2 linked regions of the Canis lupus familiaris genome follow. The protein of the gene in region 1 binds, or shares a complex with, the protein of each later gene. Links are inferred from orthologs where the notes say so. Each region holds a gene or a part of one and is shown on either strand. Other genes may lie near its edges.

Region 1 (3,805 bases):
CACGCCCTGAGCTAAAGGCAGACGCTCAGCCCCTGAGCCACCCAGATGCACCAAGTCCTCTTAAAGCTATTTTAAAAGTTTTTTGTTGTAAAGAAGTGTTTATCCTAATGTGGCCCCAAGCCTCTCTTCCCGTTGCATGAACTCCTTAGTGTTGTTCATTGCTTTTCCCCGACGGAATTTTGGGATCTAATTAATAAACTTCTTATCACCTGGGCCCACTTTTCACTATTCCTTTCAATATTTCGGCTTTATCCTCACCAGTATGAACTAGGTGGGAAGGAGAATTTCAGCAGCTCCTTGCCGTTGCTTCACCCTAAGTATGTCTCTTTCGTGTTTTCTGCCTCAAAATTCTCCATCTCCAGGATGGTACCTTGTTCGATGGTCGGCCAATAGAGTCTCTGTCGCTGATAGACGCCGTAATGCCTGATGTGGTGCAGACCAGACAGCAAGCTTACAGGGATAAGCTCGCACAGCAGCAGGCCGCAGCTGCCGCCACCTCCACAGCCGCCACAAACCAACAGGGGTCTGCAAAAAATGGAGAAAACACAGCAAATGGGGAGGAGAACGGAGCACATACTATAGCAAGTGAGCTGAAATAAGAATTTCTAAAAATTCCTTTGCAGGAAAAGTATTTTGCTTTGTGTAGATGTGTCATCTTCTAAACTGAAGTAACATCGTCTGTTTCATTTATGCCAACTTGTTCCCTTAACTTGTATCACAATTCAGATTTTTATTCCTGAAGCTCCAAAAAGCTAGATTTACTTTCATGGATTTTATTTTCTTCTTTAAATATTTAGAAACCATTTTCTACTATAAGATAAATTTTGTTGTTTGCTCTTGACTTTGAAAGAAAATTTGTAATACTAGTCATTAACCCAGTAAAGCTCTGACATGGAGATAGGAAGGCAACTCTCATGTTATATGAATGATATCAGCAACCCCTACTGGCAGAAATTCAGAATAGTGTTGGCATGGACTATATTTAATTCAGATCATTTTATCATTTTAGCCTTGTTTGGCTCTAACCTTTTTGCAGTCTTTCTCACTGCCTCCTCATCACCCCAAACACACACACACACACACACACATACACACACACACACACACACATCTTTTTAAAAATAGTAGGGTCAGACGTAACTAAAGATAGGAATTTATTTCTCGTGTGACAAGTGCTGTATAATTATTTTTGCCATTACCTGACATAGTTTTTTGGTTTTTGGTTTTTGTTTTTTGTTTTTTTACATTATATGTTACAAGGGAGGTATAAAATGCTGGTTAAGAATTATTTTCCCCCCTCAGGGCGTTATAATAATACCTAACCGGAATTTTCCACTTGATTCTCATGACACAGATAATCATACTGATATGATGGAAGTGGACGGGGATGTTGAAATCCCTCCTAATAAAGCAGTTGTGTTACGGGGCCATGAATCCGAAGTTTTCATCTGTGCCTGGAACCCCGTTAGTGATCTCTTGGCATCGGGGTATGTTTCTTAATGTGAGACTTAAATATCCTACTGAACGAGTACACATTTTATAAAAGCATTACTGACATGTTTTTGTTGCTTCTTTGTGGTCCTTTTGTCTCTGTAAATCTTTATTTCTTCATAACTTAATCTTAAGTTATTTTTTGAAAAGGTATACTTATTTGAGAGAGAATGCGCACACACAAGCAGGAGGGGGAGAGGGAGAGGGAGAGGGAGAGAATCTCAAGCAGCCCCCACACTGAGTACAGAGCCCGACTTGGGGCTGGGTCTCAGGACCTGTGAGATCATGACCTGAGCCAGAAGGAAGAGTCAGTTGCTCAACCAACTGTGCCCTCCAGGTGCCCCCATAATCTTAGAAGTTTTAATTAAGCTTCTTCAAAAGTGCTGAGGGCCCCCAAAATGGAGACTAAGGAATATAGTGGAAATGGAAACCCCAGAGAGTCTAGTTTTTATTTGCCTTATTAATAATAGTATGTAAATATGTTGCTTTGATTCTGGGATACTTGAGAATATCATGACAATTTAAAATATATTGCATACTTTCTAGGTCTGGAGACTCAACAGCAAGAATATGGAATCTTAGTGAAAATAGCACTAGTGGCTCCACACAATTAGTACTTAGACATTGTATACGGGAAGGAGGGCAAGATGTCCCAAGCAACAAGGATGTGACATCCCTAGATTGGAATGTGAGTATCACTGTATTATCCGTGATGACTACAGTTCCTAATCTACTTAACATCTCTGAACCTCAGACTAATAGCAGCGTTTGTCCATTTGTTCAGATATTTTTGAATTTCACTAATAAGAACGACAACCTAGGACTCCCCGTTCTCAAATATGCTATTAAATCAAAGGCTGGCCCTCCAGCAGTCAGACCTAGGTTCGACTTGCAGCTCTGCAGTTGATCTTGCAGCAGAACCTTTGTCACACTGGTGGTTGCCCCTCTGCACTTCATGCTCCTCAAATGTTAGGTAGAGGTGTGGTAATGGTAGTACATAAATGGGGTGATAGATGAAAATCAACAACTGGCACACACTAAGTCCTTAACTGCGAAGTCCTTTGCTAGGGGTAAGAGAAATTTGCAAAATAAAAGCATGTTCTTGTTTTTCTCATTTTGCTCAGAACTGCTGAAGACTTCATTGCCGACTGCCTTTTAGGGACCATTAGTCTAGGCTCTGCTGTAGCTGTGGGAATCTTACAGTTAGCTGATCCTCTATGTCATTCCACATCTTTCAGAGATACCTTTAGTGCTCTGACTCACCAGAAAGTTTGAGCTCCTCGTTGACAAAGCTTCACCCGTCGGTTTCAAGTACATGATAACCAGCTCTGTTTGTTTCCATTTCCAACTATGATTGATTTGTGGAAAATTAGCATTTTTAAAGTTCCTGTATATTTTCCTTTATTCCATGTTGCCTTCTTTCCTTCCTTGTGACTTTGCATCCATTTTTTACCTGTCTTCCCAAGCCTAAGAAACATCTTAGACAATTTTAGTATTCTTGAGCATTTCATGGGGTTCGTGGTTCTTTCTTCAGCAAACAAACACCCTTTCCTCCTCCAGCCCCTGTCCAACAACTTTTGTGCGACTTTCCAAAGGATCTTCCAAATCCAAATCTCATTCCAATGAATGAGGTCTTTTTTTAAAAACGGTTTCTCCAGCAGAAGTTCTCAGTTCTTATGAAATTTTTCTAAAACAAATTCCTGTAGGGTCAGGACTAAGAATTATCTTCTCAACATAGGACCTTATTCTATCTTAAGTCAAAGGCCTTATTGCCCTCATATACTGTTTGGCTCAGAAACCATTTATTTTAACTTAATGAAATTTACAGGTTACCGTGAAAAGGATGGTTAACAAATGTTTGTTGAGCTTGGTGATTCTGAACTGCAAGTTATAGTTTGTGGAAGTGTGGACTTTTCAAACATATTATTCACTGTGAATTTGAATCTTCCACCAACGGGAAAACATTATCCTTGATGAATGGTTCTTTTCCATGACTAATGCAAGAGCCTGTGAGATACGCTATCTTTAAAGTATTCTTTTCCTACTGTGGTGGTCCATGAACTAAGACATCCGGGGGCCAGGAGTTTTAAGGAAGCTTCCCATCGTGCAGAGTCTAGAAGTTGGCTTTTGCTCTTGGTTTCAACATGGCTCCTTCTTCAGATGAAACTGTGGAACCAGATTCTGGAAGGACTGAACCTACATCCCCTAGTACCAGCATCTGTTTGTTTTTCACTTACCTGTACAGCTGACTGGCTTGAGAGGTCTGAAAAAAGGCGATCTTGTTTTCAATTCCCTTTCCAAAAAGCATCCACAA
Region 2 (4,580 bases), on another chromosome or scaffold:
ATCTTTGTCCAGTCTGCCCGGTCTACACCCTAGGGTGAATCCCCGCCTGGAAGCTGGAACGATGACTAAGAAGTGGCACATGGCATATCACGGGAGCAACGTGGCAGCCATCCGGAGGGTGCTAGACCGAGGAGAGCTGGGAGCAGGTCCGGGGGCAGGGGCAGAGAAGGGGCAAGCCAGGCCTGGGCCAGGAGGCTCTCCCTGCAGGCACCGCCTCCATCCTGACTGGCTCTCCCCGCAGGCACCGCCTCCATCCTGAGCTGCCGGCCCTTGAAAGGCAAGCCTGGGGTGGGGTTTGAGGAGCCTGGCGAGAACTGCGCCCCACCCCGGGAGGAGCAGCCCCCTTCCGTCTTGCTGTCCCCCTCCCTCCAGTATGCTGGGGCCGAGACCCTAGCGTCCAAAGTGCAGTGAGTACATGGGGGCTGGGACTGGGGTCTCCATGGCTTCCCATTGGTGTCCCCGCTGTGACACTTGGGTCTTGTCTCACTCTAGCACATTTACTGTTGAAGGTGACTAGTACTGTGGAAATAAAAGTAGAGTGGGACGCAGTGGGTCCCAGGTGTGCTTTGCACAGGTACAGGCACACAGTAGTCAGGGTAGACATGGCGACGAAGGTTAGGTTTGGGCAGAGGCCTGCAGAGGGAAGCCAGGGAGCGCCCTGGAGAGACCCCAGCAAGCAGGGGTGCGGCCAGAGCCAAGCCACCTCTCTCTGGGAGGTGGGAGTGACCCCCCCCCTCCCCCCCCCCCCGCAGGCAGCCGAGGGAGGAGCCTGGAGGCCTCACGGCTGGCCTTCTTCTTGCCCTGCAGATTCCGGGATCCCAAGTCCCAGCGAACGCACCAGGCCCAGGTGGCGTTCCAGGTGTGCGTGCGCCCGGGCTCCTACACCCCCGGACCCCCTTCGGCCACCCTCCGAGAACCTCCCGACCCTCACTTCAGCCCCGCAGAACTCGAGTGGATAACCAAGGAGAAGGGGGCCACACTCCTCTATGCCCTGCTGGTGCGGGTGGAGTGAGGGCTGGCCTCTGGACGACAAGCACAGTGGGGCCCCCCCGGCCCTGGCTTAGCATCCCCTGCCGCGGCGGGTGCTCCCCGAGCCCCCGGAGCCCCCAGAGCCCGACGCATCTCTGGAGCAGGAACGCATCTCCGCGTGCAGGGCCCACGCCTCCCACTCGGGGCCGGCAGTCTCCCCTCATGCACTGACTCGGGGAACACGACTCCCTGGACTCCCTCCCCCGGATCACTTAATTTATTTCCGTTTTCGTTCCTGTTACTGTGAATCCCGAGGAGCCTCCCCGGGCCGCCGGGCGGAGTGGGGGCGGGCGCGGGGAAGGTGGGCCTCTGTACAGTTGTTACGGACGCGGGTTTCCAAGGAGCCAATAAACGCTGTCCCAGAGCGCGCGCCTCGGCCTCTTTCTCATTCATCCCCCTCTCGCACCGCCCCCCGACGAGCCCCAGGGCTGCCCAGCTGGGGGCGCCCGGCGCGCCGACGGAGTTTGGCCCCCCGCGGCACCCGTCGCAGCCGCTTCCGCCCTTCCCTGCGCCCGTCCCGCGAGGCCGCCGGCCGCCCCGGCTCCGGAAGGACTCGGCCCGGCAGCCGGATGTGACGCGCGGCCGAGGCGCACAGGAGCCGCGGAGAAAGCGCAGCGAAGGCGGGTAGGGAGGGGCGGGCGGCGCCGAGGCCGGAGACCCCAGCCCGCCGGCGCACGCGGAGCACAGGGGCACCCGGAGCACCCGGGACCGGCCGGGCGGCGGAGGGTGGGCGCCGGGCACGTGACCGGGGCGGCGGCGGCAGGCGGGCTTCCGCCTCGGCCCGCGGGCGCGACCCTCCTAAGCGCCCGCTTCTCGGCAGGCCCGGCCCAAGGTCTGGCAGTCCGTGACAGAGCCGGGCGCCCACGGCCCGAGCGTCCCCCGTGGCACCATGCCCGCGCTCCTGGAGCGCCCCAAGCTTTCCAACGCCATGGCCCGGGCGTTGCACCGGCACATCATGATGGAGCGGGAGCGCAAGCGGCAGGGTGAGCCCGGCCGAGGGGGAGGACCCCCAAGCCCCGCACCATGGGCACAGCGCCGCGCCGCGGCCGCGCGGGAGGAGGGTGGGACGGCCCGCCACTGGTGGAGGGAGCTGCAGGCCGGGTCCGGGCTCCAGAAGACTCGGGCCGGGAAGGACCTTGGAGAGCACCTGACATACCCTCCCTCCCAGTCCCCTGGGAGGAGAGGAGCAGAGGGAGCACTGGCACCGGCAGGTTTCCCCGCTTCTCCATCTCTAACGTCCTAGTGTTTTAACCACCCTGCGTTCTTCCCATTGCACCTGGTTCTTTCTCCAGAGGAAGAAGAGGTAGACAAGATGATGGAACAGAAGATGAAGGAAGAGCAAGAGAGGAGGAAGAAAAAGGAGATGGAGGAGAGAATGTCACTAGAGGAGACCAAGGAACAAGTAAGCAGCCCCCTGCTCTGTCCCAGCTTTTTCCTCCTTTGGCTCTCCTGCCGTCAGCTCCTCTCCCCTGCCTTCTCAGATCCTGAAGTTGCAGGAGAAGCTGTTGGCCCTTCAGGAAGAGAAGCACCAGCTCTTCCTGCAGCTCAAGAAAGTTTTACATGAAGAAGAGAAACGGAGGCGAAAGGAGCAGAGGTGGGATTGGAGAGCTAAAAATAAAATTGAGACAGTAACTGGGATGGGTAACACCAGATGGGTGTCTGATGGCAAAAGAGGGGGCACTTGTCTTCATTCTTGGTTTTGACCTGCCTGCCTTTCACTGCAGTGACCTGACCACTTTGACTTCAGCTGCGTACCAGCAGAGCCTGACCGTCCACACTGGGACTCACCTCCTCAGCATGCAGGGTGAGGAATGAAGAACCCGCTTGTTAGAATGCACCCTCCCGGGGGTTGCAGCCACCCCACTGCAGCCTCATGAAGCCCGTCTCCCTGTCTAGGGAGCCCTGGAGGACACAACCGCCCAGGCACCCTCATGGCGGCTGACAGGGCCAAACAGATGTTCGGACCCCAAGTGCTTACAGTAAGGAGTAGCATTGGGTGTGTAGCCCGCCATTTCCATGCAGACACGGGCACCCGCATTAAACAAGTATTCAAGTCACCAATGTTGTCCAGCACTTGACCAAATGGTGGAAAATTGGGCACATACAAGGCGCTTGGGGTTCTGCTTTGGAGGAGTTTCCAGCAGCAGCCAGCGCTCCTCTTCCTTCCTCAGACGCGACACTATGTGGGCTCTGCAGCTGCCTTCCCCGGGACCCCGGAGCATGGCCAGTTCCAAGGCAGCCCCGGCAGTGCCTATGGGACCGCGCAGCCCCCGCCTCACTACGGACCCACGCAGCCGGCCTATAGCCCCAGTCAGCAGCTCAGAGGTGAGCCGTGGGTTGGGAGGGGGGCGCTTCCTCCAAGACCCAGAGGCCGCTGGTCCCAGGCAGGCCCGAAGGAGGCTCGACAGGCTGTGCCTCCTGCCTCCCTCAGCACCTTCGGCGTTCCCAGCAGTGCAGTACCTGTCGCAGCCGCAGCCACAGCCCTACACGGTGCACGGCCACTTTCAGCCCACCCAGACAGGTGAGGATGCCCCCGCCAGGGCCCCAGGGCTGAGCGTCCTCCCCGCCTCCGCGTTCCACACACCCATCCTTCCCTTTGTAGGCTTCCTCCAGCCTGGCGGTGCCCTGTCCTTACAGAAGCAGATGGAGCACGCTAACCAGCAGACCAGCTTCTCAGACTCTGTGAGTACAGAGCCTGGGCAGGGCAGGGGCAGTGCTGGGCCCAGGGGTGCCCCAGGCCGCCTCGGACCCTGACTCTCTTCTCCGTAGTCCTCCCTGCGCCCCATGCACCCACAGGCTCTGCATCCAGCCCCTGGGCTCCTCGCCTCTCCTCAGCTCCCGGTGCAGATGCAGCCAGCAGGAAAGGTAAGGCCAGGGGTCGGACCCGGCTGGGGCCCTACCCTTCCAGGGGGAAAACCAGATTGTGTAGGAGAGGCGGCGCCCACCCCTCCTCTCCCATTTCCTCCTGGGGTGGGGATGGCTGGGAGTTCGGGTGTAGATTGAGGGGCAGGGTACACACCAACGAAGTCCCCCCACTTCTGCCACCAGTCGGGCTTCGCAGCCACCAGCCAGCCTGGCCCTCGTCTCCCCTTCATCCAGCACAGCCAGAATCCACGATTCTACCACAAGTGATCATCAGATTTTATCTTCAGCCTCAGCCACAGCCCCTGACGTGGGTGAGGGAACTTGGTGTCCCAGTCTAATAAAATTTACCTGCCTCTGCCCCTCTGCTGCTGTGTGCATCACCTCCCTCCCGGGCTGGGCCAGGGCTGTGTGGAGGGTGAGGAGTGACAGGCAACTAACAGGTGAAGCTGGGTGGGTGGGTAAGAGGGAACTCTTTGGCATAGTTGTTTATGTGTAATTTCTAAGTTGACTTTCTAGTCAGCAAATACCCATTTAATTCAAAGAAGCAACTGAGTTGGGGCCTTCATATTAAACTTGTAGTTTTATTCAGGTTTGATTTTAACAAATGTGTCGGGGAGAGAGCCCACAGGAAAGGGTAAAGCCCATGGGGGCAGGGCCCTCCCAGATGCCTGAGGAGGGGGCAGGTC

The links.
Region 2: TBL1XR1 (region 1) and GPS2 share a complex: the UniProt entries of both Homo sapiens proteins name them as parts of the N-Cor repressor complex. The link is inferred for Canis lupus familiaris from reciprocal best matches to the Homo sapiens genes TBL1XR1 and GPS2.

Annotation. Positions count from the first base shown.
Region 1 is NC_049255.1:40,849,184-40,852,988, reverse strand, and holds part of TBL1XR1 (F-box-like/WD repeat-containing protein TBL1XR1), read left to right. Parts: intron 1-362; coding exon 363-585; intron 586-1,354; coding exon 1,355-1,487; intron 1,488-2,037; coding exon 2,038-2,179; intron 2,180-3,805. UniProt on the Homo sapiens protein: F-box-like protein involved in the recruitment of the ubiquitin/19S proteasome complex to nuclear receptor-regulated transcription units. Plays an essential role in transcription activation mediated by nuclear receptors.
Region 2 is NC_049226.1:32,479,173-32,483,752, reverse strand, and holds GPS2 (G protein pathway suppressor 2), read left to right. Parts: upstream 1-1,534; 5' UTR 1,535-1,653; intron 1,654-1,849; 5' UTR 1,850-1,918; coding exon 1,919-2,012; intron 2,013-2,321; coding exon 2,322-2,431; intron 2,432-2,510; coding exon 2,511-2,623; intron 2,624-2,753; coding exon 2,754-2,833; intron 2,834-2,925; coding exon 2,926-3,008; intron 3,009-3,200; coding exon 3,201-3,354; intron 3,355-3,460; coding exon 3,461-3,550; intron 3,551-3,631; coding exon 3,632-3,711; intron 3,712-3,798; coding exon 3,799-3,894; intron 3,895-4,077; coding exon 4,078-4,161; 3' UTR 4,162-4,253; downstream 4,254-4,580. Other genes in the region: NEURL4 (neuralized-like protein 4), read left to right, coding at 34-146, 242-407, 808-1,012. UniProt on the Homo sapiens protein: Key regulator of inflammation, lipid metabolism and mitochondrion homeostasis that acts by inhibiting the activity of the ubiquitin-conjugating enzyme UBE2N/Ubc13, thereby inhibiting 'Lys-63'-linked ubiquitination.